Ovis aries: one gene and its partners. The protein of the gene in region 2 interacts with the protein of the main gene of each other region in a biochemical or structural test. Links are inferred from orthologs where the notes say so. Each region holds a gene or a part of one and is shown on either strand. Other genes may lie near its edges.

Region 1 (10,118 bases), on a different chromosome or scaffold from region 2:
TCTGAGTGACAAGGCAAGCAGGTCATTGAGCAAGGGCTTTCCACACCCTGCCAGAAACTCTGCCATTGCAACACTCAGAGAGGAACTGCCGGGGAAAGGGCTCGACTTCCTCAGATGTGAGCTCTGCTGCTGCTGCTGCTAAGTCACTTCAGTTGTGTCTGACTCGGCAGCCCACCAGGCTGGGATTCTCCAGGCAAGAACACTGGAGTGGGTTGCCATTTCCTTCTCCAATGCATGAAAGTGAAAAGTGAAAGTGAAGTCACTCAGTCGTGTCCGACTCTTAGCGACACCATGGACTGCAGCCTACCAGGCTCCTCCGTCCATGGGATTTTCCAGGCAAGAGTACTGGAGTGGGGTGCCATTGCCTTCTCCGGATGTGAGCTCTAGGGTGGGGCCAACCCGGTGTGCCTTCATTTCTCCCAGAGGACCCTCAGGACAGGTGTCCCGCCTCGCCTTTCTCGACTCCTGAGTCTGGTTCCCTTCTCCTCTCTATGGGTCCTGCCCACCTGTCCAGCCTGCACCACTCACCTCTTCCAGGAAACCTTCCTGGATCACTGGGTCTAGCTGCTTGGCTGATGGCTCTGTCACACCAGTGCCTTGTGATCCCCGCTTTAGACCCGCCAGCCTGTCTCATGCTCCGCTGCAACCATTCTCCCGTGTATGTGTAGGGGGTGACACCCATGTGGTGAATTATGAGGCGGGCTGTGGTTTGAGCTTGAAAATAGCCCCTGTTCACCAAGCCATTGCCGAGATCTTCACCTCAGGACCTTAAGACCCCTCCCCTGGGGTGAAGCCACTGTCTGAAGGGCTACAAGGGCTACAGGGCTGGTTAGGCTCAGGGAGAGAATAGACGCAGAGGTGGAGGAGGGGCATCTTGAGCCAAGGGAGGGGATTTCAGGCACCCAGGGGACAGATGGGGGTAAGAGGAAAACACAACCTACAGGGTGAGAATGGAGGTCTTCTCACAGGAAGACACACGCACATCTCAGACGGCACACAGCCCTCCCAGCACACTGACACCCCGTCCCCTCAGCTACACAACAGTGCCTCACATGGACTCTCTCTGAGCTCCTCTGTACAAATTCACAGACATAGACATCTATGAATAGACACTCACCTTCAGCCTTCACCCATCTATACACACACACACACACAGCCTCTCCCATTATAGCCTTCCCCTGTGTCAGTCACTGCATTAAACACTTTATACATATTACCTCATTTTATCCTCACAACAACTCGACAAGGTTAAGGATTATGATTAATGCTAAGGCACCCAAGGCACAGAGTGGTTTAGAAACTTGCCCAAGGCCACACAGATGAGGTATCCTGGCGCTTGGTTCCAGAATCTGAACCACTTCTCTCCATTGCCTGGTCACAGACACAGAGGCTTCCAGCCATTCCTTCAAGCACACACTGGTATACTGAGCCCCCACCGGGAAACCCAGAGATATATGTAGTCCTCCCCTCCCCCAGTCACAGATCCACACAGAGCTCCTCTCGATAAGTTTCAAACTTATACGATCTCTTGAGTTCCCACTTAGACATGATGCTGCCACTTCCAACAATACGCAGGTACCTGTTACCCCCATCTTTAAAAGTCAGCTTAAGGGGATCCCCTAATTCTGCAAGCCTGGAATTGGGAGGGGGTTTAGAGACCCTCCGAGAAGGAGGCAGAGGGAGAGCCCTGGCAAGGTTGATGGTGTGGGCGGTGGGGGGGGGGGGGGGGGGGCAGGGGTGAGGGTGTGCTGGTACACTGACTCTTAAAAGAAACGGGGGAATAAAAAGGCCCAGATTTGTAGCATTTGCTGATTTCCATGGTGTAAATATTCCCACCATGGCCGATTTCAAGTTACTGAAGTGACTTGCTGAACGCTGGGCTGGAAAAAGATTTGCAGAATCAGCTCCCCAGGGCCGGTACTAGGTAGCTGGCTCCAGCATACCGCTGCCGGAAAGCAACAAAGAGACAAACAGAGACTGAAATGAGAGGCAGCGAGACGAAGACAGACAGAGACTGAGAAAGAGAGGGTTTGAGACAGAGAGAACTAAAAGAGGCAAAGACAGACAAAAGAGAAAGGGAACACGGAGGGGCCTCTCTGCTCAGCATCTGCATGGAAACAGCCCCCAGGAATCTTTGTCTTCCACTAGCTCTCAACTCAGCTACAAGCCACCAATGCCTAGGAGCATAATTTGACTTCCAGAAGTCTGGGGAAGCGGGTGGAAAGGTAAATAACTATTAGTTTTAAAACGTTAAAGTATTAAACACCTACTCTGTGCCTGGGGCTTCCCTGGTGGCTCAGACAGTAAAGACCTGCAATTCGAGAGACCTGGGTTCCATTCCTGGGTTGGGAAGATTCCCCTGGAGAAGGGAATGGCCACCCACTACAGTATTCTGGCCTGGACAATTCCATGGACAGAGGAGCCTGGCAGGCTACAGTCCATGGGACTGTAAAGAGCCAGACACAACTGAACAACTTTCACTTCTCTTCACTTCACGTCACTCTGTGCCTGGCACAGTGCCAAGCAAGTCCCATGATTGATCTCATTTAGTGACCCTATGAGGTAGGTTTTATTATTACCCCTATTTTACAGATAAGGAAACCGAGTCACAAAAGTGTTAAATAACTTCCCAAAGATTATCTACACAGTGAATAAGGGGAAGCTAAAACACAACCCCAAGCAATTTGGCTCCAAAGTCCATCTTAAGCACTGCTTATTTTGAAGTCCTCGTGAAAGCAATACAGTTATGTACCTTCATGAGCCCCCACAGAGTGCCAAGCCCTGTGCTACACACCCTGAATCCTCCTTACAGCCCAGTGAGGGGGAAGTGACCTGCCCAGGGTCTCTGAGCAACCACCGATTTTCAATAGCCCTTAGAATCTGAATCCAAGTCTCTTTTCTCAGGGCTGATATAGGTTGCCTGCTTACAAAGGGAGTGGCTCAGAGACCCTCCACAAGTGTTCTGGTCACTGCAGGGACTTGAGTCTGTTAATAAACAGGCCTCTTGGATATCTGGTTGACAGGAGTTGGCTTCCAAAGTCTGATCTGGGTCAAGATCAGGTTGTGGATGTCAGAACTGAGGTCCAATCCTGGACCATGGTGTTCCCACCTTCAGCATCTCTCCCTCTGTGTGGCCCTCCCAAGTTTTGGGGCCTTGATTGAATGACATCAGCCTTCTGAGCATCTGTTTTTGCATCTGTATCTTCCGTGCAGTTGTTAGGAAGGCTCTTGGCCACTGTGGTTAAGGGAGGCTGAGAATCACAAGCAGCAAAGCTAGAAGGGCCCCCAGGGATGATTTATCAGTCTACCTCTTTCTTGTGTGGAGAGGGGAAGTGAGTTGCTGGAGGTCAAACAGCCAGACCTGGGATTCAAAGCCAGGACTATTAATTCAAGTACAGAGTTCTGTTCCCAGCTGTGCTCTCCAAAGCCTGAGCAGGGGGGTCATGTTCTCCCTGATTGGTGAATGTCATATTTCCTACCAGTCCCCGGACAACTGCTCATACCACCCCTGCCATATATATGGCAGCTGGCCATAAAGCGGAGAAACTGCCCGCCTCCCACCCCTCCTCCTGGACACAGGAGCCCCAGATGCACCCATCCTTTCTTCGGTCTATGCTTCCCAACACCACATCAGGGCTTTGATGTAGACACAGGATGTCCTGTTCCCCCCTGATTTCTGCCAAGTATCTGTGGGATCTGGAAACTGATTTCGGCTCAAATTCTACCTGACTTGAGACATTGGGCAGGTCGCTTCACTTCTCGCTGAGCTGCAGTTTCTTCGCCTGTTAATAGGAATCTCAATCCCTGCCTCCTGGGGTTGCTCCTGAGCCTCAATTGTGGTCAAGCCCCTGAGAGCACCCGGGGCACTGTAGTTGCTAGGTGAACTTTCACTTCTGGCCCCTTCCCTTGAGGAAGCCCCCTCCAAGGCCGAGGAAGGAGAAGTGACGAGGCAGAGAAGAAAGAGAAGTGCTCAGGGTGAGGTGGGAGGGCTGAGCCAGCCCAGCCGCCTGGGGGATTTCACCAAAAGGGAACTGGGACTGAACAGGGGCAGGAAACCACCATCCAGCAAGAGTTCCGGCTTCTCCTCAGGGCTTCAGGCTGGCCTGGTGGGCAGGCCTGAGTCTCAGGCTCGCCGCACCCCATCCCTCACCAAGGCCTGACCCTCTGATGAAGGCTTCCATTCCTCACTGAGACCTTCCACCCCTCCTTGGCTCCAGTGCCCTTCCTGAGCCTCCATCTCCCTCACTGAGGCCTTCATCTCTCATAGAACCTCCAACCATCTCACATCACTCAGGCCTATCACCCCCACCCCTAACACCCAGGGGCTAAGAAGACATAGCCAGCTCTGATTCTATCACTTTGGTAAAGCCAGTGTGTGGGGGTGAGGGAGGGGCCACACTAGCTTTCCCCTCCACAGGGTCCTCACCGTGTCAGCTGAATTTTCTCTACTTCTTGTGGGTATAAGTGTTTTCTCATCGGTTGCTGAAAACCTACCCGCTAGCCTCTAAAACAGAGATCTTGAGAGACTTGAGATTCTTGGGGGATGGAAAGCCATGAGCTGGTCCAGGGGGAACTGAAGGAGTAGGAGTCTGAATTTCACAGCACGCCCAGACAGGAAGTCCCTTCCCCAGGTCCAGTCAGAAGCCAGCCTGGTTGACTCTGTGCAGGAAGGGCTCTGGGTCCTCTTTCCCCAGCCCCGGGGTCCCCCTACCCATCCTCCCAAGGTCTGGCCACTTCCTTTGCCACATCAGCCCCAGGTGGCTGCAGAGAACACCCAAACACCCACACACATGCTCACATGCTCAAGCTCATTCACTCAAAGCCCAAACCATACTCACAAACACTCTCCACCCTCACTTACAGCTTCACACCCACTGGAAAGCAAGAACCAGCCACACAGCCCAGGAAACCCATATGTTCTTTCACCACTGACCGCCCCCCCCCCCCCCAACCCGGCTTCCCTCTCCTCTCCAGAGGGCAATGGAATTTGGTAGGGATGAGGAGGGAATGTAGGCTTCAGTTCTGTCTACATCCGTCACCACATCAGGGACAGGATGCCCGGCTTCTGGGTCCCTACTGCTGACCTGTCAGTTATTCACTCCCGAACCTCCATCTTCCCATCTGAGAAGTGGGAACAGAGCCTTGGTCTCCCACCACCACACTCACAGATGGAACGATATCAAAAGACTCAGGGATCACTGGTTTCAATAAAATGAAGTTTCAGGACTTCCCTGGCAGTCCGGAGGTTAAGGCTCCACGCTTCCAATGCAGGAGGCATGGGTTTGATCCTTGGTTGGGGAACTAAGATCCCATGTGCCATGCAGCATGACCAAACATTTTTTTTTTTTTAATAAAACAATTTTAAAAAAGAAAATAAAGTTTCAATAAAATGCATATTCTTGCACGTTGCATTATTTGGAATTGAGAAGAGCAAAACTTGCTGACAAACCAGTGTTTATATCATAAACACACACACACAAATCACCAAAAAAATAAATAAGGGGAAGGGTCAAGGACAGTCTCAAACTGGCTGACTTTCCCAGTGTGGGGCCTCAACAGACTCACAAATATTTATTTTATAAGAAGTCACCTGTGTTTTGGTCCCTGGAGGCCCTGTCAGGCTTTCTGGTCCAGCTCTATGCTTATGAGAAACTGAAGAGGCTACCCCCAGGACACCGGGTGGGGTGGGGGTGGGGGAAACAGCTTAGTCTATCCGAATCCCACGACTGGGGATAAGCTGGGGGATGGAAGCTGGGTAGGGGCAGGGATAATTTCCTACACAATGCAAATGAGGAAATTAAGGCCCAGAGAGGCCGCATAATTTGCCTAAAGCCACACAGCAAACCAGCTTCCAGTCTGGCTAAAACCCTGAGACTGCAGATCCCCCACGGCCCCGATCCCTGAACACTTGCACATCCTCGCCTTACTCCTCGGCCCCGCAGCTCGCCCCGAACTAAGGACTCAAAATGGGGGTGGGGGAGGAGACCACGGAGGGCAGCGCAGGCGTTGAGCCCCGAGGCAGCCCAGAGCTGGGCTAAGTCCCTCCGCCCTCTTGTTACCATGGAGACAGCCCCTCCCGGCAATCGCGGTCAAAGGCAGGATTTCCGTCGGGGCGGCCAGCAATTCCCGGATCCCGAGAGGAACGTGGACCGAGATCACCGCTGCGGGAGGGGAGGGGGCACCCAGAGAGGCCCATCCCTGCCGAGGGCGGGGACTTCCCCAGGAAACCAGGACCCACGCCTCCTGCGCGTTGCAGGAGTCCCCTCGCCAGCCCGGACCCGCCCACCTGTGCCGGGCTGGAGCTTCTAGGGGGGCGCTTGTGACAGCCTCCCCTCCCCTCCCGGCCGCTGGCCTCACCCCACCTCCGACTTCTGCCGATTCCGGATAGAGGGGCTTCCTGGACCCTCGGGATTGCGACCCACATTCCGCGTCCTCCAGAAACGGTTTTCCTTGACTCCTTTTTGGCAGACCCCTCCCCGCCCGCCTAAAAGTCTTTCCTCTCTTCCAGACCCCTCAGCTTCTCCCCAGATTCTCACTTTCAAGGTCTCTTAGTTTCTCAACCCAGACCCTTTTGAGGATCCCCTCAGTTTTCCTCTTCCGACTCAGCCCTTTCCCAGCTTCGTCTTTGCAGGTTCCCACCAGGTCTTTTTTGGGGGAGCCCTTTTAGTCTACTTTCCGGGCCTTCCCTCAGCCCTCTCCCCAGACTGTATCAGCTTTTCACTTTCCAGAGTTCCTCCGTTTTCCTTCTTATGTCCTTTGCGGGGTGAGGACCCTTTGGCCTTCAACGCCGTCAGCTCCCCTCCCCAGGTTTAGGGCTTCCTCTCCGCACCCCACGTCCCCCTTTCTTCCCAGCCACGAAGGGACTGGGGGCGGGGCACCGCCGGCCCTTCCAGCTCCCCCGACGGCTCCTACCTGGTCCCAGGCGAGACCGCTTCTGACTGACCCCGGGGTTAGCCGGCCGGGGCTCCCAGCAGCCACGAGTGCCGACAGGGGTGGGGGCGAGCAAACGGGGGTGCTGCCCGCCTCTGACCGCGGGCCCCTCTGGTCAGGGAGGAGGAAGCCGCCTCGGACTTCTCTTATTGCAGCCGCGGCGGCGCGCGGTGGCGGTGGCGACGGGGAGAATTTGCAGTCACGCCCCAGCCCCAAGCCAGCTGCCCGGCGGCAGCGGGGAGGGGCCCTCACATCCCAGGCCCTCCCGCCCCCGCTTCCCACCTCCCCCCGAGTTACCGCTGCTCGGTTTTCCCAGGCCTCCCCCCGCAACCCCGACCCCACCCCGGCTCCTCTCCCCAGATCTGAACCCTTAGCACAGACTTCCCCGAGACTCCCTTCAAAGGGTCAGATTCCTCACACCCAGAAGCACCTGCTCATTTAGAATTATTGCCTTTGAGGTTAAGAGGGGGCATTTCTCCATCACTGCTCTGCTCTCTGGCCTTTGCAACTGAGAAAACTCGAGGACCACACCGGGACAGGCCTTAACCCGAGTTCTCACAGCCAGTTGACCCAAGGCTGCTGTTACCAGAGCCACTTGGTCTCCAGTCACCATGCTCTGCCATCCTTGGAGACTGGGCACTGGAAAGGTTCTGGGACAGCGAGGAGCAGCAGAAGACCCTTCTCTGCTTTTCAGAGGAATCAGTCATTCCGCTACACTGAGCAAGCAGGAGGTTGTCAGCCTCCCCCACCCCACCCCCAACTTTTAGAAAAACTAAGTATAGCAATTTCTATCACAACAGTTCTAGCCTTTCCAACTAGTAGGGTTCGATGCCCCTCCCCTCAACCTGGGGTTCAGTTTCCACCACTGTTACTTCTTCAGCCTTCAGCCAGGACCACCAGAATCTCTCTTGTCAGGGGAGGATGAGGTGTGTGGGAGGGCTGTTTGGTGGAGAAGTATGTGTGTTGGGATATGGTGGGGAGGTCGGGAGGGGGCGTAAGCACAGATGTGTGAGTGTGTGGTTGTAGGCAATGAACACGATGACTGCAATTTTAGAATCAACAACAGGGACGCATTATGTAGGCATGTGTGTTTCTGTGTGTGAGCAGGGATGCCTGTGAATTGTCTCAATATGATTGCGGGGCAGCAGAGAACAGTCGGGTACAGGTAAGAATGCCTTTCATATTGGAGGAAGAGTGGGGAGGAAGGCACAGGGGAGGAGCTGGAGGTGCAGGGACTTGGGGAGGGTGGCTTCACCTTGGCTGGACCCTATCACCTCCCACCATCAAGTACTTCCTGCCTGACCATTGTTCCACCTGTTCAATTAACAAACAGATATTTATCATTGCCGGTCAGGTGTCAGGCTTAGGGACCACAGACGTGAAGGGCACTGGTCCCTGCCCCTGGGGACCCCCCACCCCAATCTATCAGGCTCTGTCATCCTTCAAAGGCTGGCTTCTGATTTTCCGCAGAGCACTCGGCATCATTTGCTTGGTGACCACTGGTTCCTGGGGTGTGGGGTGTGGAATATGTTTTCCTCAAGGGCAAGGACTGTGTCTGGCTGTTGGCAAGGCCCCTGGAGTCCGGGCAAGGTTTGGCACAGAGAGGCAGGTTCTCTGAGTACAGGAGTGCATGAGTCAATCAAGAAGCAAAGGAACTAGTGGGCAAACAGATGAAAGTCCAGTGAAAAAATAAATGGATGTAAGAATTAAAGAACGAATGAAAATATCCAAGAATCAATGACTGACTATCCAAATGAATGGAAGAACAGAACTGTTTCTGCTCTTAAAATACAGATCAGACCACATAAGTTCCTTGCTTAAAACGCTAATGACAAAAAAAAAAAAACTAAACTAAAAAACCCAACTCTAATGGCTTACTTCCCATTCTGCTTGGAATAACAAAAATACAATTCAATAATAGTGAAAAATAACTAAATCCAAACCCTTTTCGTGGCTTCGGAAGAGTCGTGGCCCCTACCCACCTCTTAAGTTCCTTTTGGGCCATCTTCCTCTTCAGCCACACTGCAATCTTTTTCAGTTCCTAGAATACATTAACTTTTTGCCTCAAGATCTTCTCATATGCAGTTTCCTCTTCCTAGAACACTCTTTCCCTTGTTTTTCACAGCACTGGCTCCTTTCTGTCCTTTACCTTAAGTGCCGCCTCTTCAGAGAAGCCTTCCCTGACCACGTAGGCTAAGGAGGTCCCTTTATTCTTGCCCTTAGTGCTGAGTTTGTCTCCTTTATGGCAGGTGTCCCAATCTAGAACAGAGTAGTTCTCAGTTCATTGTTGGTTGACTTGGCTCTCTCTTGACCAGATCTGGGCTCTGACCTCAAGAGATACCTGGCTTCACCCAGGACAGAGATAAGCCGATTCTATGACTCACATTCATCCATTCAGAATATCCTGATGATGAGGAATACGGACTCTCTGGGCCCAGACTGCCTGGTCTGTAGATCAGCTCTGCCTCTTTCTAGCTGCATGACTTTGGACAAATTATTTTAGCTTTCTGTGCTTCTGTGTCTTCATCTGTAAAATGGGGGTGTCTACCTTACAGGAGTCTTGGGAGAAATCAGTGTGCTCATACACAGTAAGTGACTTGTACTAGTGACCTGTACATAGTAAGTGCTGTATCAAGTGTTTGCTATCATTCTTTCATTCAGTCAATCAAACTCAACTTTCCCTGTCACTAGCCTGTGCCAGGCTGGGTGGTGGAGGCTCGAACAGGAGTCAGGTCCAGTCCTTGCCCTCTATGTGGCCCTTGCTCCCCACGATGGGCGCAGGACAAGGAGGCCATAGGAGGGGCCTATTGAACACCCTCTCCCACTGTCATCAGTGCTTGCAGTTCCCATGCTTGCATGTTCCTTTAAATAAATTCTGAAAACTGAAATCAAAACTAAACACAAGGGCCAGCAAGCAGCTGAGCACTCCTATCCATTTCCCATCCAGCCATCACTCTTGCTCTCACTTCTGTTTTCAGCCATATTGGATTCCGTGCTCAGCTGTGCTGGTGCCCCTGTGCCACACCCCTCACCCTCCAGGGTGCTTGCCTGGAAAGCCCCAGACCTGCAGCAGTCTAACTGTCTACCTTCTCTGGGTGTGGAAGAGAAAAGCACCTGCCAGACAGGGTGACAGCTCCCAGATTCCAAGAACACTAACAAGGCCCAGCGGGCTTCCCAGGTGGTGCTCG
Region 2 (10,118 bases):
GGTTCTGTGACCTCGCGTTTCCCAGTGAGGTGCCTCCTCTCTCTTCTTCAGAGCATGCTTGATGACCTGGAACTAGAATCCACCTACAACCCCTTGCAAGTCTGGAGCCACCTGTACTCACACCTGAGCAGCACCTTTGCCAACCCTCATGGCCGGTTCCACCCAAGCTCGAAGAGCCGGGCTGTAAGAAAGGTACTTCCCTCCTTCCCTGTTATGCCCAGAATGCCAAAGTCCTCTTCCCCTGTCCCCCATCCAAGGGAGATCCTCCCTGATCTCCTCTGGAACAACCAATGGGAAGATCAATGGGAAGAGAAGCCTTTTGCCCTAGACAAAGAAAATTACAACCCTTACGCAGTACTGGGACTTTTTTGCTTGGGCATTTACATAAATATTTAGTTATCTTAATTGAGGTGTTTGGGAAATTCAGTAGTCATTTAACAGATCACTGTCCCACTAAGCAAACTGGCTGCACTGGAACCACAACCGCAGCCTCTGTTGAAAGAAGGTGGGATAAGAAATGCCCAAAGGAAGGGAAATTAGTATTTACGAAGCAACAGTTGTACTCTCACATATATTTTTCTGATTTAATCCTCACAGCATCCCTACAAGGTAAGTGTTATGCTCATTTTACAGATGAGGAAAGGGAGGCTGACCAAGGTTAGAAGCTTAGAGACACGGCTCCAGTGACAAGAGTTCAAGAGAGAAGAGGAATTGGGGTGGGGGGAGGATTTATTTTAATGAAATCCATGTTCTATAGTATATGGGCTTCCTTTTGTGCTCTTATAAATCTTTTCCTTGTTTCTCAGTAACAAAGCCTGTAGGAAAAAACTTTTGTTTTATCTGAAGTTACAAGAGAAAGAGGTTTCCAAACTACAGACAGTCTAGAGGTGGGAATAAAACCCACCATAAGTTAGCTGGTAGGCAAGCAAACAGAGGAGGACACTCAGCCAGGAGACAAGCATTGTGGAGGCTAGAGCCACGGGGACTCCGCTGCTCTGGGCCTTGAGGCTGTCACTCATGGGACCCAAGAAGGAGTTAGGACTGGAGACCCAGCAGGGAATGGGATAGGAAATCAGGACTAGTCTAGTCTTCACAGAGAGCTCTTCTTGCTTTCTCTGCAGGCTGAGCCTTTACAAATAAATCGAGTGCGAGCTACAGTGGCCCCTCTGCATATGACTCCAGCCCCTGGCAGAGCCCCCAAGATGCCAGCAGCCAGCAAAGCTTCCTCAGAAGTCTTCTTCCAGCCTCCTATGGAAGAGAAGGAGGAAGAAGAGGCAGAGGAGGAGTATCCCTCAGGGCCCTAAGTCACTAGCGCCATAGCCCGACTGCCCTGCTAAAGCACATCCATGCCAAGGTTCCAGATCTGTCCCACAGTGGCTTTCTGTGGCCAGACTTGCCTTCTGTCCACCTAACCCTCTGCGAGCTCCAGGTGACTGGGAAACAGAGCCTTCCCCTCCTCTGCCTCCAGTGCTTTCAGCACCCCACTCCTCAGGCTATGAGGAGACCCTTCTGACCCTCTTCTTTCTCTAAGAAGGGACTTTTTTTTTTTTTTTGGATCATTTGATACTGTTAACACAAATGAAGAATAAATACCCAGTAGGTCTCTACCGTTGTTAGGAGTATTCCCAGACCCAAATTTCTCCTTGTAGTTCTGTGTAAGCAGGTGGATGATGTCAGGTCACCTTCAGGAAACTGGACCTCAGGAGAGAAGGATGAGGTTTTCCAAGCTCATGAAAAACAAGCAGGAGTGAAATCTAAGCTTCATTTCAAAGCCTGTGCCCCTCCCATCACATTGCAAGTCCCATCAGCCTTCAAACAGAAAAGTGGCTGGTGCTTGCTAGCTACATGCAAACTGTGTTTGTGTGTGAGAGAGAGAGAGAGAGAAAGAGAGACAAGGGGAGGGGGGCATCCTAGAGCTGAGAACAGGGGAGAGGGTGGTATGAAAAAGGCCTATTCCCTCCCTGTTCCCCTTTCCTCACACCCGCCCAGCAGCCTTGTCCATCCACAGAATAACTACCTTTTGTAAAATGTTTATTCTGCACTTCAAATCAATTAAGTACTTGAGAAATTTAGCTCCTTCCATACAAACAACCCTGTGAGATTGTGCCTATAATTACGCTTTCCCATTTTACCTAAGGGCAACAGGGGAAACTGAGGGTTACCAACGTTATGCCCAGGGCCCCACCCACCCCAGGTGGGCCTAACTGGACCTTTCAGACTCTGAATGGTCACCCCCTCCCTGGGGCCTTTTCCTCCTTCAGTGGCCCCCAACACCTTTCTGGTTCTCCTAATGTCTGCCCAACACATCTTGCCTCTCTGTCCCTTTTATGACTGTTCACAGACACAGACCTCTTAAATCCAAACTGACTTTAATGAGAATAAAACTTACCCCCGCCAAAAATATATATATATATATGGTAAAGAACAATGAAGGGGGAGGGATCCTGACACAGCATACAAGCCTCTCAAACCACACCTCCTCTGACCAAATACCCTTTTCTATAGTTGTGCTCCAGCAGCTATCCCTTCCTTTGGTGGGGATGACTTAGAGGTGCTGGCCTCCCCCAGATCCCATCCCTGAGCCCCTTTATGACTCTGTCCCACTTCCATGACTTCTTGGGACAGATCGTCCTTCCCTTGACTCCCCTTGTAACCTGGTCTCTGCACACAGGCCCCTCTGGTTCCTGCTGGTTCTAACAGGTTTCTTTGACCCCATGCTCCTTCCCCATGGTCCTCCTGTCAGCAGCCTCAGCTTCGCCCAGGTCTCACGTGGAACCCTCTGACTTGGCCCCAGTGCTGTCAGTCACTGCTCCAGAGAGCCCACAGTCCCAGCTCCCTGGGGCCCCGCTTTTCTGGACCTGGCTGTACAGGGCAGTGTCTGAGCTACGGCCTTGGCTGCCACTGCCAGCTGCAGCACCAGATTCAGATAAGGCCAGGCCCTGGGGCTTGGGAGCTGGGAAGGGCTTTGTGCTCCGAGGGGGCGGCACAGCATAGTCATCCGTGGCAGGGTTGTAGGGGAGCTCATAGCCCTCCTCCTTCACCCGAGCCTGGCACCACCATGCGTCCTTGGGCTCCTGAGGCAGATCATAAAGGCCCCGGAGAGCGGCTGGGGCCAGGCCCTCAGGTTCATCATAAATGGGGTCTTCTTTAGGGTCTGTCAACTTGGCCTTTATCAGCTTTTGCTGCACATGCTCACACAAGTCCCAGTAGAGAGCTTTCTTTAACTGTGTCCCATCCCCTGCCCGAGCAGGGGTGCTGTCCAAGGGGTCTGAGTACAGGGAATCTTGGGAAGGGCCTGGAGGAACGCGCAGGGAGTCTAAGGGTTCAGCATACAGGGCTGGAGGGCTGCCTGGGAGCTCCAGAGGGGCCGAGGAGGAAGCCAACTTCCCGTCCGCCACTTCTTCATGGGAATCAGCTCTGAGAACATCCTGCCCCTGGCCAGCCTTTCCCTGAGTCTTCTGTCGGTGGATAGCAGTCTCGACTGCCTGAAAGATGTCATTTCCCTGTGCCGTCTGGAAGGTGAAGGTTCCAGGGCCGGAGGGACAGCGGCGGCCAGCCTCAAAAGAGAACATGACCTGAAGAGGATGTAGAGGGAAACACGTTACCAGCAGCCATCAGAGGAGGTGAGTCACAGGGCTACAACTAGTTAGGGGACCTACAAAGAAGAGACCACTGGAAAGGGAGGTTGGTCATGGTCTAGGCAAGAAAGAGTTATCTAGAGTGCAGTCTCCCACCTTCCTGTCCACCCCTCCTCCCACAGGTGTCCAACCCAGTCAGCCAGTCCTGTCTTGACAGCACCGTACCTTGTCACGGCCATAGCGACGCAACAGAGTGTAGGGCCAGGAGAAGAGTGGCTCCAATATCTGCCTCTGGGCCCCCATGGCCAGAAGAGTCAGCCTCTCCGCCTCCACTCTCAGCACATAGGAGCCATGCAGGCCACAGCGCTCAGCGGCCTCAGTCTTCTGCACCGTTACCCAGAACTGGGATCCTGGAAGGAATATACAATTAGACTGGGACCTGGCCGGGACTGGGGTGGGGGAAGGGAGCAGATTGTACACACACACACACACACACACACACTCTCTCTCTCTCTCTCTCTCTCTCTCTCTCACAAGCCAGCTCTGAGGAGCTTCCTACTTCCCCTCCTAGGACACCCTTTCTTTCCACCCCATCCCTGCTGGGGCTTTTCAGGCCATCTACCTTCCCAGGAGGGGCTATACAGCGAGTTCTCCAGCATCTCCAGGGCAGAAAGCTTGGGTGGGTTCTCGGCAGGTGCCAGGGCCCAGCTGCCTTTCTGGGGTAAAGAGAAGGAGTATGAAGGAGGCTGTGATTCCCTCACCGCGATTCCCAGGGTCTGAGCCAGCCCAGTTCCTCTGCCGCTGTAACTGCTCCCACCCTGCCTCGCCTCCTGGGCCCAGTGCAGCCCCGGGCCCCTCACCGGAAAAGCGTTTTGGCACAGCGTTTGCACCCAGGCTGCACTGGACGGCGCGTCGGCCGCCAGCAAGTGGGATCGCTGTGCGGTGTCCAGGCGAAAAGCTGCGGCGCCAGGCTCAGGGGGGCTCTCCACCGCCACGGGGGCCACGCTCACACATTCTGCCAGACGGATCACCTTGCAGTCCAGGCGGCGCGAGCTCCCTCGGCCACCTCCAGAGCTCGACCCCTTGTGGTCAAAGAACTCGAGCCGCGCGACACCGTGGGGACTGGCCGGGTAGAGAACCGCCCAGGTCTTCCTCCATCTCTGGGGAAAGAGCCGAGAGACGCTGGGGAGGGAGCGGACAAGTACCGGCTGCCGGGCCCCGACGGGGGAAGAAAAGACCCGCGCGGGCCGATTTCAGCACTAAGGTTTCCCGATCGCTGGCGAAGTTTCTCCAGGAGGATGCCGCTCTGTCTCCCCAGGGCTAGAGAGGCATACCCGGAGGCCAGCGGACGCTTCTCCGAAGAACATGCAAAGCATTTTAGCGGGAACGTCACAGGGCTCTCCGGGTCCCGGCGCCGCTCCCCTAACCGCCGCGCGCCCCCTCCCTCCGTTTGGGCTCAGTCGCCCACCTCCAGCTCGGATGGGGTTCGGTAACCCCTGCCCACACTACCTTGGCCCCGAAACGCTGACTCTGCAAAAACAGCGGCCCTTCCATCACGGCCCCGTCCATGGCCCCCGGCGGTTCCTTCCGCGCTTCCTGGCTCGGCGGCCCGGAGGCGGGGCGGGGCGGGGCTCGCGGGAGGCGTTCCCATCCCTCCCCAGCCTCCGCGAACCCAGAAAGGGGAGGAAGGAGATGGGCCAGAGGAAGGGGAAGGGGTACCACCTCTAGACCCCCATTCCCAGCCCTAGGTCTCGCGCTAGTGGCTTCACCGAGAGAAACCTCGTAACTTCGGTCAGAGGACTCTGGCTCTTAGGCTTGGGGGCTGCGTACAACGTCAGATGCTCAACGTGACATCAGAGTGAAGGCCGTGACATCATCTAGAAAATGCCTACGGGCACCCTGGGGCATTGGAGGGACTTTCTGGGCCTTCGAGGCTTCAGTTCCCCGGACCTGACTCGACCCCTGCTCCGCGGGAATTCGGCTATTTACGATCCGCAGAGCCGGGGACATGGGGGAAGGGCTGGGGCTGGGGACTGAAGACTTCCCGGAGCTCGGAGCCGAGTCGCCGCATGGGGCGCAGCCCGAGATAGTCTACGGCCCCATGGCCTCCTGTGTGTCCAGCTCTCTGACCGCAGCTGCCCGGCACCCAACCCGCGGGAAAAGAGAGCTTTATTAAACAGGCTGGGAGGGGCGAGGAGGGGGGCGGGAGGGAGATTGAGCGGCGACAGCGGCCAGCTCCAAGGAGGAGGGGAGAAGAGGAGGGAACTGCCCTGGGAGGGATCCTGGGAGAAGGCGGAATGTGGGAGGGCTCAAGGGGACGTGGGAGGAACGAAGAGGGGGGGCGGGGGAGAAAGAGGGGCAGTCTCCCAAGTACTTTTTTTTGGAAGTCCTAGGATTGATCTACAGGATCAAGACTCTTCTCCCAGCCGCTAGGGTCCCCGTTCAGCCAAAGGTAGGGGGAGTCACGCTCCCGGTGGGAAGGAGAGGATGATGGAGGGACCTGGGAAAAGGGGTGATGTAGGATAGAATCAAAGGAAAGCCAAGCTACTGAGGGTTGTATAGTCAAAGAAGACACAAGAAGAGTGGAGAAAGGAAGCAGATATTGGGGAGTGGGGGCTACAGGGTGTTCCAAATAGGGCATCCGAAGTGCCCGAAGGCTAGGGGCTCCTCTGTGAGGCCCTCTCCCTAGGTCCCCAAGCCAAAATGTCCCCAAACAAAGCTTCCCTGTTGTGTTGTTTGTCTGAGTTGGGGGAAGCATGGGGTAGGGGGGTGGGAGTGGGGGGGTAGGGGGAGCTCGCTGTAAAGGAGCTGTTCTCCCGACAGAGGGAAGGCCTTAGCTGAGAAGCCGACTAGTGCTCTTGCCTCCTGTTGCCCCGGGAAAGAGATGGCTGTGTTGGCAGGAGGCTTGGACAACCCCACCCCACCCCACCCCCACCTTGAGGCCTGGCCCTTCTGGGCCCCTTGACCCTGCAGGGCATGCGGGATGTGTACCAAGTTCTCCAGTGCATTCTGGTTCTCTGCCTTTTCTACCTGGAATCTGCCCAGAAAGGACTCTCAGCCTGACTGCCATTTAGGGGACCTGAGATCTGAGGGTGCCCTAAGCCCCTTCTTGCCTGCCTCTTTCCACAATCAGTAACTATCTGTCCTCTCTCTGACTGGCTGAACAGGATCATCTGGGTCCCTCCTGCCTCTGCTCCTTGGCTTTTGTCAGTCCCTCTCCTCCTTTTTGCCTTTTCATGAGGTTCGTGGGGTTCTCAAGGCAATTATAGAGTTTCAGCAAGCTCCGGGAGTTTTTGATGGATAGGGAAGCCTGGCGTGCTGCAGTCTGGGATCGCAAAGACTGAGTGACTGAACTGAACTGAACTCCTCCTTACTCATTGCCTGCCTTTCTCAGTTGCTCCCCAATTCTGTGTGCCAGACTCTCTCCTGACCCCCTTCTGTCCATTTCCAACACTCTCTCTCTACTGTCTGTTTGGTCCCCTTTTATTCCCACAGTTTCCCTCCCTCTCACATCCTGTCTGTCTGGGTCTCCCTCTCTGTGTCTCTTGCTCAGTCTCAACCTATCTATCTTGATGGGCCTCTGATCTCGGTCTCTAATCTCTGTCTTTTGATCACTGGGTGTCCTTGACCTGTGAGTCGGGACAGAGGTGATGATAGCAGAACCAGGGAAAGGACATTATGAGACATAACAACTAATAGTGAGCGTTTATTCTTTACAGAGGGAGGGAGAGCCTTCTCTCTCTCTCTCTCTCTTCCCACCCGCCCCCCCTCCCCAGTCTGCGCGTCTCAGTCTGTGCCTCTGTTACTCTGCATCTCTCTTCTTATTTAGGATGGATTTCTCTCTGTCTCTCTCAGCCCCTGGGTCCCTCCCTTTCTGTCACACTGGCCCTCTGTCTCTGGTCTTAGCCGGTGTCTCTTCTCTCATGATCTCTCTCTGAGACCTGGGCTTCTCAATTTCAGCTTCTCTCTCTCTGGGGCACCCAGGCCTTCCCTGCCATGGGACCTGTCAGTGTTTGGCAGTGGAGCCTGTGGGGGCTGCTGCTGTGCAGTTTGTGCCTGGGATCTCCAACCCCGTCCACGGCACCTGAGAAGAGGGCCGGGAGCCAGGGGCTGCGGTTTCGGCTGGCTGGTTTCCCCAGGAAGCCATTCGAGGGCCGCGTGGAGATACAGCGGGCTGGTGAATGGGGCACCATCTGCGATGATGACTTCACGCTGCAGGCTGCTCATGTCCTATGCCGGGAGCTGGGCTTCACAGAGGCCACAGGCTGGACCCACAGTGCCAAATATGGCCCTGGAACAGGTGAGCAATGCTTCAGGCACAGCCTAGGTACTGCCAAAGTACAGCCTAAATGTAGGGGAGGGAACCGCCCTGGGGACACAGAATACCAAGAACAGCCAGTGTCAAGTACACCCGTGGAGGGGAAACCAACCAACATAAAGCCGCGTGAACTTAGGCTGATCGATGCCTTCTCTGAGCCTCAGATGCCTCCATGTGCAAAGTGACTAGATGGTCTGTAAGTTACTTTCTTCTGCAAAAGTATGATTCTACAAAGCCACATGCAAAGACAGCCCTGACACAGAGGAGCCCTGTATGATTAAAGAACAGCTGGTTTCATGGGAAGCTGAGAGCAGGTAACTGACATCTGGATGTCCCAGAGACAGAAGTGATCGCAGATACTGCAGCCAACAAGATCAGATTATAATTTAGAGCTGAAACCGACAAGCTTGGCTTCCAAAGACAAGTATAAACTTTAGGATGTGGTTAGTAGGGGCTTAGGAGCAATTCTGAGACCTGGGGGCACTTGCATTGTATAAACTCACAGTGGGATCGGTAGAGCTGGCGCAATCTGCAGTTAACCCCCTATTCCCACTGGTTAGACCACATCTGGAATAAAGTATCACTTTAGATGCCACATTTTCAAAGAGACAATAGAAAATGGAAGTACTGGGCATTTCCTGGTGGTCTAGTAGTTGGGACTTTGCACTTTCACTCCCGAGGGCACAGGTTTAATCCCTGAATAGGGAATTTAGGTTCCTGGAAATGGAAGTACTTTCAGAGGAGAGCTATCGGATGTAAAAGATTGGAAGCCACATTTCAAGGAGGAATAGCTGAATAAACCAGGGATATTTGATATGAAATGAAAAAGCTTTGGATCATAATTACATGATGGTTGAATTCAAACTTGAAGACAGTCATTTGACTGAGGGATTTTTCTGGGTGGCATCAAAGGACTGAATCAGACCTGGAGTGGAGGAAAGTAATAAAAGAATCTCAATAGTTTGTGATAGTTCCAACAGCCTAATGGGGCAAGAGGTAGGTATCCCAGCAGAAGCTGGGTAAGTCCTGTCCGGATATGCATGAGGGTTCCCTGCACGTGGCCCTTTGAGGGGCCACCAGTTCTGAGAGAAAGTCAGTGATACTCATTTCAGTTTGGCCCAGGTCAAGAGAAGAACATGGGGCATCATGGCAGCACAGAGCCGTCACATGGGAGAACGTAAGGCTAAGGTGAAAGGATCTTACATTTCCAAGTCTCACAAATGGCTCGAATCTCTAAGCCCTCATGCATTGGCTTTATGGTCCTAGGCAAGCTACTTCACTTCCCTGAACTTCAATTTCTTTATACAAAATGGTGATGATATCTTCTGGCAGCTCTGTTCTAAAAATGATCACATATGTACATACCTTGGCAGAGTGCCTCACGCACACTAGGCAGCTGTCATTGAATGGGTAAGGACTGATCAGAACTTCAGTGTTGACTCTTGGGTCTTTGTATTCACCCTACCAAATTTTGGGGTATCCCCAGAACACTATCAACCCTCCATCAATCCTATACTCCCTTTCCTATTCCTTTCCAGGGTCCCCTGTCGCTTCCCTACCCATTACCAGGTGTGAGGCTTCCATGCTCACTCTCACCAACATCCCCATGCTACCGCTCCAAGCCTCTCTATCCCCTTATCTCCCCTCCCACACAGGCCGCATCTGGCTGGACAACCTGAGCTGCAGTGGGACTGAGCGGAGTGTGACTGAATGTGCCTCCCGGGGTTGGGGGAACAGTGACTGTACCCACGATGAGGATGCTGGGGTCATCTGCAAGGACGAGCGCCTCCCTGGCTTCTCAGATTCCAATGTCATTGAGGTCTGTAGTTCATAATCACACACACACATGCAGACAAACCGCCCAGGACGGCAAGACAGAAAGGGCTGTGGGGTGGTTATGAGTGGGGATACGAGAATGTAGGGGATCCCATGTGCCCAGTGGGATAGTTGGGGTTAGTGGGAGACTGGGGGAGTGGGCAAAATGATAGAGCTCTGTGGCACTGCATAGTCCAGGTTTATTTTAGCATCAGCAGTCAAGTTACTAAGCCTGGCATGAATCTCTCCAACTTCATCCCTGGTCCCCAGGGCACCTGTGCTCTCTCTCAGCTCAGATATTCCTGAGGGAACCTTTCACTCTTACTTTTTCCTACTTCTTCAGTGCCACTCTGTGAAGAGTTCCCTCAGGCTCCAAGCAGAGTTAGATGCTCCTTCCCCAGCTTCTT
Region 3 (10,118 bases), on a different chromosome or scaffold from region 2:
CCCCACAGAGCACCTTTTCCTCCAGGCCCTGCCTGACCCCCGGCCGGCCATCCGCGGCACCCTCAGGGAGCTGAGCTCGGCGGCAAGGTCACGGTCTACTTCCATGACGAGGCTGGAGTCCAGTCTCGCGCTCTGGGACGGAGGAGGCCTCAACACACTGAGATTCCTGCTGAAACTAAACCGCCACAGACACAGGGAAGCCTCTCCCCCAGGCCCCGGTAAGTCTGTTCCACAGACAAGGAAACCCCGTGTGCCACCGGGCTTGCTGCCGGGCCCCTTCGTCTCTGCGCCGCCAGCATCCCCGACTAGCGGCCCCACCTCGCTGGGGAGGCCCTATCTGGACTCCCACTAACAGAGCACTGCCTCCTTTTACTTATCAGAAGGAAAACGTTGTTGCCCGAGTGAACCTCAAAAATAATCCAGTCCAACAGTTCAGATCAAGAGAATCATTCTTCTATAAAACGTCCTCTGAATCCAAGTCTCAAACGAGAGAAGGGTCACAGGTCAGACGGCTGTCAGCACTCAGGCGCCACGGGGACAGAACTCCCGCCTGGCTGAGGTTCCATCCAGCGTCACAACAGTTCTGTTCCCATCTAAACTGAACTCAGGGGATTTAAGCTACCGGTAAGAAGAGACTCAAAGGTTACCCATAGTGCCGAATTCTATGTCAACTGAAATCAGCTACCGCTCCTCTCCTACCTGCTACTCCTAATTACGAGCCCAAATGCCCCCTTAAACACCCAGGTTGCGGCCGTGGGAGAAGGCGTGGCCTCTGCCTGGCGGCCGTGAGCGTCCCCTCTGGGCAGGCGCTCAGGTGAGGTTGGGCATCCTTTCTGGCCCTCGCACAGCTGCTGCCTGTATCAGAGGACGCGGTCTTTAAAGTCAGCATCCAGGAAGCTCCAGAAGAGCCTGACAGGGAGTGCTGAGCAACATCAGATCTGTACCACCAGAGCGTGCTCTCAGCAATATCTATCGAGCAACAAAACAGGGGGGTGGGGGTGGGGAGGTGCCTCTATGAGCCAACTCGCCTCTGTTTTTCCCATCTTTGCTCCTCACGACCCTCCTCCCAGTCATCACACAGCTACACGAGCTGGAACCGGAAACTTCATAAGAGAAGCGACCTACGCAAAGCACACTTCCAATTTTCTAGACCCGGGAAAATGTACTGTCTCTAAACTGAACCCACTCAGAAACTGGACCCTGCTGTTAAACTGGAAACAGCCTCTATTAAAACGGAAAGAAAAACCCAGGAGCACTTACCTAACACTGAACAGAACTTAACAGAATCTTGGAAGTGTTCACACTCAAGTAAGATGGAGGTGAAGTGTCTGTTTATGCAACAAGCTTCAGCCTACAAGCTGCACCCGTGTGCGGAAAAAGAATCCTTTAAAATCTGTCATTGGAAAACCAGAAGCCACTGACACACCTTAAATGTAAGATCCAAGACAGGACTGAATAGTGCAACTCAAAAGGCAAAATTAACAAGACAACCCAGAGGACAGGCAGCTGCAAACACACCAAGTCATCTGCCTCTTCCTTCCTCCTCTCCGTTCCCCTCCCATCAGCAACCGTCTTCAAACCACAGCCGTCCGTCAGCCCTGCCAGTCAGCCTGCGGAACGTCTCTACTACAGATGGACGCACGGACGGACGGACAGCTCACCAATCGTCATCACCGTGACCTGGATTGCAATAATGGCCCAGGTCACTTCCTGACTGCAAACTCCCCCCTGGCACCCCACTTCCTTCCTCTGAGCAGCCGATTCAAGCTGCCTCTGCAGAGCCACGGCCCTGGCGCGGCTGGCTCCCCACCCTGGGCGCCCTCTTGGCTTCAGCCCTGCTCTGACCCTCCTGCCTCAGGTCAGCCCCGCCTGCTAGACCCCCTGCCCACGTGGACTTTCTTCACACCGACCAATGCTGTCTTTTACTTAAATCTCTACTTTCCAGCCTGTCTCCTCACTGACATCTAAGGCCCATGATGGAGAAAGCACGTCACCCCTCTCTCCCAGTACGCATCCCTGGGATTAACTCTCCTGTAATGTCTGGACAAGGACGTACACTGTGAAGTTAAGGGGGCGTCCCTGTGGTGCAGAGGTTGAGACCCCAGCTGCCACTGCCAAGGGCTCAGTTTTGGTCCCTGGCCAGGGACTTTGGCTCCCACACGCTGCACGGCCAAAAAAAAAAAGCTACTCCCCCAACAAAAAAAAGAGATCAGTCCTTAAATTCTGAGGAAGCCAGTAAGTCGTCACTTTTTACTGAGCAAAATGAACCCCAAAAAATAACTATTAGCCAAAGCGCAGAAGCTCTGGCTTCAGGAGCTCGGTTCTGAGGCCTGAAAGAGCCTAACCACTTCATCCATCCTGCCTGGGGCGTGGAAGCACACGGCCCTGATTTTTGCCTTTGGCCAAAGCTGGCCCGGCCTTGTCTTCTACACTAGCTGAGTAATAAGCGCATCACACAGATCCGCGGGTTTCTGGCTCCGGGAGAGGCGATCCAGGTTCAGTGTGACCAAGTGAATCCTGCCAGGATCTCATTCAACTGGGGCAGCGGCAGCCCTCGGAGACACCAGGGGAAGGAAAACTCGACGGCAGCGGGACGCCCGGGGCAGCGGGCGGAGAAACAGCAAAGCTCAACTGGAGGCGGGGGCAGCGCCAGGGAAAGGCCCCAAGGGCAGGGAGGCGCGCCCGGTGAGGGGCGGGTGGGGCCCGAGCAAAGGTCCTCCGGCGCGAGTGGGCGTGTAGCGCGGGCTCCCTGGAGGCGGCGGGAGAGGGTGAGGACGGGCATCTGGGAAGCAGCACGAAGGGAAAGCTGGGGGTGGCGGCTGCGGGCACTGGGAAGCCAGGGCCGCGCCCCTTTCTCTCCACCCAGAGGGGCTCGAGTCCCTCCCTCACGGCTGCACTGAGGCGCGCGGCGAGGCCCAGTCAGTGCCCGAGAGAGCGCTCAGTCACCTTCACAAGCCAGAAGAGCCAGTTACGCGAACGCAGCTGAAGCCTCACCACTGCGGGAGCCGAGAGCCCCCAGCCTCTCACGCTGGAATCACACTGTGCTGAGCGCTGCCTCTAGCTCCCAGGCTCTTCGGGGACCTGGAGGCCTCGCCAGTCAGACTCGCCGCGGCTAGGCCTTTGTTACGCAGTATCTGATTTATAATCCCTGTCTCCCAGCTTTTAAAGTCCATTTAGCTCAGCAGTTAACCTCCTGGTCATTACACCGCGAGGGCTTCATTCTTCTCTACCTCTAGTCCACAGAAGCATCCAGTGCGTCCCCCTTTAATACGACAGCTTCTCATGTTCAGAGCTGAGACTACTATCTTGTCAGCAGATCTATCAAGTCAGAACCATCTCACCCTGAAAAAAACCTGTATTAGCACCCTGTCCTTTCTAAGCAGACGCTTGAAAAGATCAATACCTTTTATTTTTAAAACCCTACGCCATCTCTTTAGCTCAAGTTTTGCATAATCTGCACAAAAGAAGCCTCGAGCAAAATATTAAGGCCAATAATGAAGCCCAAATGAAAAGGGATGCCCAATGCTCAGTGTCACTCTGGGTTATTTTAAAATAGATACTAAGTCATGCAACTCAGTACAAAAAGGACATCTGAAATTCAACTAGCGTAGAATCTTCAGTGGAGTGTCATTCAAAATTTCCTCTTAGTAACAGTCTAGACTCATTCCACCTTGGAATTTAACCAAATGGATTTCCAGTCCATTAAAGGCCCAGCTTGGGGGAAATCTATTAAAAAAAAAAAATTCCTCGTTCAAGCCGACCTCTTCTACAGTATTTTCAGTTAATGTGTTATAAAACAGACGCCTGGCTTATTTCAACCCTGGCACCAGGCTATCAATATATGGCCCTGATATTTCACAGGTAAAGGCATTTCGTTTCTACCTGCGAAGGCATTTCCATCTCTAGAGTTTCCAAAGGCTGCCGTCCGGGAGGTCCAACCCCGGAGCTCAGAGACCCTGAAAGCGGTGCAAACTCGGGAGGGCGGGGGGCAGGGAGGGGCCCGCGGGGCGGGGAGCCGAAGACTAGCTTCAGAGTCTCAACCCGTGGCCCCAAACCGGCTGCAAGACCGGGAGCAACGCCCTGCTTCAGCAGGTAATTTGCACCGAGGACGCGACGAAGGGCAGAAAGCGCCCCTTTTCCAACTGGGCGCCCGCAGCGCGAGCTGCCGGGCCCGACGCACCGCCCTCACCCACGGCGCCCCCGGCCGGCGCCGCCGCGCCGAGCCCCGCGGCCCCGCGCACCTGGGCGCCGGCTCGATGAGCGTGGTGGTGTCCAGGTAGTGGATCTTGTAGAACTCCAGCAGCGCCGGCAGGTGCTCGAACTCCTGGTCCCCGATCTTGAAGCGGCGGTTGGGCAGCGAGTTGATGATGTAGTGGGACACCCGCGAGTTCTCGGACACGGACAGCACGTAGTCCCCCGGGCAGGTGGACGAGTCGCGGACGAGGAACACGCCGTGGCGCTGGCCCTGGAGCCGCGTCTGCGCCTCCTGGCGGGACACGGGCCCCATGTACCAGGCCGAGCGGTCCGAGGAGTCGAACCTGGCGGAGGACATGGCGGGCGGCGCGCGGGGGGCCGGGCGGGCCGCTCTCGCCGGCGCTGGGGGCGCCCCGCCCGCGGCGGCTGCGCGCCGGCCGGGCCTCGGGCTCACCGCGCGCCTACAGGCCCGCGCCCGCGCCTTCCTCGCGGCCGCGGGCCCGCAACATCCTCCGGGCCGCCGGCCTGCTCCGGGGCCGCCGCGCGGGCCCAGCCGGCTCCGGGCGCGGGCCCGGCCGAGCGCGGCGAGGGCGGCTCGCGGCGCCTCCGCTCAGCCCTGGCCCCGGCGCGCGGCCGGCCCCGCGTCCCCGCCGCTCCGCACCGAGCCCCGCGGCCGCGCCGAGCCGCACACCGCCCGGGAGCGCCGCGCCGCCGGGGCCGCCGAGCCCTGCCCCGCTCCCGAGAGCCACAGCAACAAAATGGCGGCCGCGGGCGCAGCGGCGGCCACCTCCCCCGCCCCCCCCCGCGCCCCGCGACTGCGCACGCGCGCGCGCCCGCTCCCGGCGGCCGCCGGCGCCGCCCCGTGACGTCACGCCGCGCGGCCAATCGCGAGGGCGGGCGTGCGCCGCCCGCGCGCGGCGCCGCGCTCCCTCCCGGGCCCGCCGGGGGGCGCTGCGGGGAGGCGGCGCTTCTGGAGCCCGCTCCGGGAACAAAGCGGGCGGCGCGGGCCAGGCCCGGCCCCCGGGCGCGGCCCCGGGCCGTGCGCAGCCGGGCCGGCCAGGTTAGGGGGTGGCGGGGCCGACCGCCGCGGGTGCTCAGGCGGTGGCTGGCGAAGCTCCCGCGTCCTCTCGGAGCCCTTGCCGCCTTGGCCCCCCCAGGACCCCCGCCGCAGAAGCCCCGGCCCCTGGCCGCACCCCCGTCCGCGCCGGACCGTCCGTTTCACGGGAGCGGGGTTTGGTGCGCCTTGTTCAGCCCTGGGCCTGGCGCTTCTTCGCCCCGCCCTACGCTGATCTCAGACCTGGGCGGAATGAATGACTGTCGGGGACCCCCCGCCCCCGCCCCCGCCGGCCGGTGGAGGCGCCTGTCCAGAGGGGCATCGGAGCCCGGCTCTAGACTCCTGGGGAGCCGATCTCGTTGCTGGGCTGAGCCTGTCCTGCACTGTAGGTAGGGCAGGCGTCCCCAGCTTCTGCGACCCAGTGCCTGATGACGGGAGGTGGAGCCGATGTAAGAATAACAGAAAGAAAGTGCAGCGTGAAAGGAATGCGCTTGAACCATCCCCCGCCCCGAGGAAAAACTGTCTTCCACGGAAGGGTCCCTGGCGCCCAGGATGCTGGGGACCACTGTCGCAGCGTGATGGCTGACGTTCCTTCCGGGTAAACTCAAGGGGAATCGTCACGGCCTAGGGCCTTTTGTGACTCAGCAAAGCAGGTTTTCAGCTTCCCTCCAAATACTTTCGCGTCGTGTTACTTTCGGGCACAATTTGAATAGCTCAGAATTTGAAGAGGAAGGCTTGAGTTCCAATCCTAACCTGACTTACCAGTTGACTGTATCATTCCTTGTCATATTTTTTTCATCTTCTAATATTAATTTTTCTTTCAGTTTTATAGAGAGATAGTTGACATACAGCACTGTACAAGTTTAAGGTGTACAGCTTAATGGCTTGACTTGCTTACATCATAAACTGATTATCATCACCATAAGTTTACATATAGATACAAAATTAAATACAAAAAAAATGTTTAGTGAGCATCTCAAAGATACACAATTATATCTCAGAGAAGTTATCATAGGTTGTATGCTTTGCAAGAGGCACTCAGGGAGGTCTTTTGAAGTCCAGGACTCATTTCAGTGTTACACAATTATTGCCTATAAGTTAGTCCATTTTGCTTGCTTTGCTAATGTGTGTGTGTGTGTGTGTGTGTGTGTGTGGCGGGGGGAGCTATTAATTACATTATTCTACTTTTGTGTATGTTTGGATTTTTTCACAATAAAAATAATTAAGTAATTTCTTATTTTTCCTTAGCACAGCTGAAACAAGCTTAAAAACTTTTTCCCCCAAAAAAACAGCCTAGCCACTAAGAGGTAATGAAATGGAAATGAAGGGGACAAACGACAAGAAGCTTTAAAAAGGGGCCATAACGTAAAAAAGATTTGTGATTCTGCTCTAGCTTGCTCTTCCCGAGGTTTCCAGGTAGCATTGTACTTACTCTCTTCTAAGATAGTTAGTTTAGACTCAATTGACAAGGCTTTTCCAGCAACTTGCCAGGGTTCCTGTCCCTGAGGCTGCCTCTGTACTGAGGATTCAACGCCAGCTCTCTTTTGTGGCCTCGCCACGTGGCATGCAGGGTCTTAGTTCCCCAACCGAGAATCAGACCCGCAGCCCCTGCCTTGGAAGACAGGGTCTCAGCCACTGGGCCGGCAGTGAAGTCCCCTCACCGAGGAATCTTTTTAATTATGTGTTTGTTTCCCTTTTCTGTGCGGGGTCTTCATGGCTGCACGGTTTTTCTGCACTTGCGGCGAGCGGGCTTCTCGTTGCGGTGCCTCCTGCTGCAGGGAAGGGCTCCAGAGCGCAGGGCGCGGTGGTTGTGCCGCTGCTGCCCAGCTGCTCCGTGGCTTGTGGGATCTTACCAGATCAGGGACCGAACCCACGTCTCCTTCACTGATAGGCAGATTCTTTACCCAGTGAGTCACCAGGGGAGCCCCCACCCCGCCCCACTGACTTCTGATTCTCCCCTGTCTGGTCCAACCCTGCAAGCGATGGTTAAGGCCGGACGGTCTTCCCAGGTTGCTGCCTTACTGAGGACCCGGGAGGACAGTGTCTGTCCCTTCTTCCTGCCCTAGATTCTTTGCTGGCAAAGACAGTAAGGTAGAAGAGGCCTGCCTGTGTTACGGGGAGACGCAGCAAGCGCGCTCACCGCGCTGACCTGATTGGGTCGGGGGTTCTCAGGCGTGGTCTCCACGAGCCCTGGTTGACCACTGCCTGGGTTAGACACATCCTTGGAGACCCGCCTCGCCCTCTCACCCTGCAGTTCTCCGTCACTGCTCCCCCATGCTTCATGTCTATTTCCAAATTTTTCTCCCTAACACAAAAGAGGAGCTTATTGGTTATCTTCTCCCCCACCATTAGTTTGCTACTTCGATACTAATAAAATAATGTCCAATCCCGATTATAATTTCCCATGACGCACTATTTAAAATATCAACCTGCTCATCTCTTCTTTCCCAGGGGGACATCTCTGCACGAGGCTTGGCTGCTGTGTTAGGAAGTTCTACCGACCCCTCTAGAAAACACTGGCCGACTTAATTCCAGTGTCTTAAAGTCTGGTCATGGCTCCGCCTGGCATTCTCTAACCTAGTTCTAATGGCTCTGCCGCCTCTTGTATAAAATATCCATTTTCTCGGACTTCCCTGGCGGTCCAGTGGCTGAGACTCTTTGTTCCCAGTGCAGGGGGCCCAGGAGTGATCCCTGGTCAGGGAACTAAGATTCCGTGGACCGCAACTAAGGGTTCGCACACCAGACTGCAGACCCCGTGTGCTGCCCACTTAGACTCGAGACAGCCACGTAGGTAAATAAATTAGTTTTTTTAAAAGTCCACTTTTGTGTCACTTGAGCTGAAAGGCAGCTTGTCTTGTTTCTCCTGATTTCAGAGCATCCTGGAGTGCCTTCAGCGAAATCCCCTAGAGGCACGCTGATTCCCTCTCCCATCCCTTCTCGGCCAGTGCTGTGCAGCCCTTTAGACCGGGCGTCCCCAGATTTTCCTCTAAAGATCCAGACAGGAAATATTTAAGGCTTTGCAGGACAAAGAAGAAAATCGAGGAGTGTTATGTAATCTTGCTCCAGCCTCTTGATCTTCCTCCCTGGCTCCAGGAGAAACTCCTGGAAAATGGGAGCATCTTAACACCTCAGGGGATCTGCACCCGTTTTTATCAATCTGGAACATTCTCTCACCTGATGAGAAAAATTTTCTGCAATCTTTTAAAAGGAAGTTCAGAACATCATAGTGGTTGAGTGTTAACTGTTTCATCACCCGAGCATGCGAGTGAGAATAATGGGATTCATCTGGGATAATATTTCACTTCATTGGGCTTCAGCATCAGTGTCCCCTGATGCTGAAATGTTGACCTGCCAGTGCTGAGCTGGGCGTAATTAGGCTCTGTGTCACCCCTGACGATGTCTCGCACCCAGACGGTGCGGCCCACCCTGCACAGTTTTAATGGAGCATGTTCACTGTGGGATGAAAGCGCAAGAGTTAGTTGCTCAGTCCTGTCCAGCTCCGTGCAACCCCGTGGACTGCAGCCCATCAGGCTCCTCCGGCCACGGGATTCTCCAGGCAAGGACACTGGAGTGAGAAACCATTCCCTTCTCCGGGGGATCTTCCTGACCCAGGGATTGAACCTGGGTCTCCTGCGCTGCAGGCAGGCTCTTTACCGTGTGGAGGCCCCAGGGAAGCCAGATTGTGGGATGGTATGTGCAAGAATTCTCCGAGATTCTTCTCTGGACGTTTGCCTTTTGTTATGAATACGTTGCAGATTAATCATCTTCAATTGAAGTTCGGGTGGGAACTCCTGAATTGCCCAATTAAATAGATTTTGAAATATGGAAGTTTCCATTGCGCTTGGCATCAAGGTCTGAAAGATTCTGCTGGAACTGTAGTTACAGCTCAGAAAATATATCTGGTGCAGGTCTGTGTGGGAATGAGATCTTGCTGCCTCTAACTGCGACAGCACAGGAGGGCACAAACCCGCTTAACATCCCTCTAGGCTCTCAGCGTCAGTGCTCGTCAGAATGCTTTGCGCACTGTCATCTCATTCTGTTTTACCGGCCGAGCTACACAACTTATAGGGCTCTCAGTTCCCTGACCAGGGACTGAACCCAGGCCCTCGGCAGGGCAGGGGCAGAGTGGTACTCACTGGACCACCAGGGAGGCCTCAGGGAACATCACTTTAATGTCAGCGATAGGCAGAAAATTGCAATCCCAAGTTCCCCTTTCCTCACACAAAATGAAAACCTCAAAAGCCAGTCGGAAAGCACCAGCACTTCCTCCTCAGGACCCTCTGTACGCATTTCAGGTTCCTCCACGTCGTGATGGCAGTTCCCCGAGGCGGGGTCGCAAAGAGTTGGACATGAGTGAAGTGACTTAGCACACACATGGACATCGTGCTTCTGAAAATGAAGACTTTAACAAAATGTAACGTACTTTTGGCTGTACTGGGTCTTCGTGGCTGTGCAGGCTTTCTCTCTAGCCGCAGTGCTCGGCCTTCTCGTTGAGGTGGCTTCTCTTGTTGAGAAGCCAGGAAATGGCTTGGTGGTGGTCGCTATAGGGCCCACGGGCTTCAGTAGTTTTGGCTCAGGGCCTCCAGGGCACCGACCCAGTATCTGTGGTGCACGGGGCTCAGCTGCTCCATGATTTGTGGGACCTTCTCAGGTCAGGGGTCAAACCCATGTCTCCTGCACTGGCTGCTGCTGCTGCTGCTGAGCCGCGTCAGTCGTGTCCGACTCTGTGCGACCCCATAGACGGCAGCCCCCCAGGCTCCCCCATCCCCGGGATTCTCCAGGCAAGAACACTGGAGTGGGTTGCCATTTCCTTCTCCAGTGCATGAAAGTGAAAAGTGAAAGTGAAGTCGCTCAGTCGTGTCCGACTCTG

What was found.
Region 1: the proteins of DOK1 (region 2) and FGR form a complex in vitro, tested with the Homo sapiens proteins (2 studies listed by BioGRID, with this or other methods). The link is inferred for Ovis aries from reciprocal best matches to the Homo sapiens genes DOK1 and FGR.
Region 3: the proteins of DOK1 (region 2) and CRKL form a complex in vitro, tested with the Homo sapiens proteins (2 studies listed by BioGRID, with this or other methods). The link is inferred for Ovis aries from reciprocal best matches to the Homo sapiens genes DOK1 and CRKL.

What each region holds. Positions count from the first base shown.
Region 1 is NC_056055.1:239,414,819-239,424,936, reverse strand, and holds the start of FGR (tyrosine-protein kinase Fgr), read right to left. Parts: upstream 7,048-10,118; 5' UTR 6,358-7,047; intron 6,166-6,357; exon of another isoform or gene 6,060-6,165; intron 657-6,059; exon of another isoform or gene 529-656; intron 2-528; exon of another isoform or gene 1-1. UniProt on the Homo sapiens protein: Non-receptor tyrosine-protein kinase that transmits signals from cell surface receptors devoid of kinase activity and contributes to the regulation of immune responses, including neutrophil, monocyte, macrophage and mast cell functions, cytoskeleton remodeling in response to extracellular stimuli, phagocytosis, cell adhesion and migration.
Region 2 is NC_056056.1:96,400,759-96,410,876, reverse strand, and holds DOK1 (docking protein 1), read right to left. Parts: upstream 5,155-10,118; 5' UTR 5,148-5,154; coding exon 5,088-5,147; exon of another isoform or gene 4,955-5,087; coding exon of another isoform or gene 4,913-4,954; intron 4,739-4,912; coding exon 4,439-4,738; intron 4,295-4,438; coding exon 4,201-4,294; intron 3,989-4,200; coding exon 3,804-3,988; intron 3,576-3,803; coding exon 2,766-3,575; 3' UTR 2,353-2,765; downstream 1-2,352. Other genes in the region: M1AP (meiosis 1 arrest protein), read left to right, coding at 52-192, 1,122-1,304; LOXL3 (lysyl oxidase homolog 3), read left to right, coding at 7,575-7,878, 9,552-9,715. UniProt on the Homo sapiens protein: DOK proteins are enzymatically inert adaptor or scaffolding proteins. They provide a docking platform for the assembly of multimolecular signaling complexes. DOK1 appears to be a negative regulator of the insulin signaling pathway.
Region 3 is NC_056070.1:72,318,484-72,328,601, reverse strand, and holds the start of CRKL (crk-like protein), read right to left. Parts: upstream 4,955-10,118; 5' UTR 4,553-4,954; coding exon 4,242-4,552; intron 1-4,241. UniProt on the Homo sapiens protein: May mediate the transduction of intracellular signals.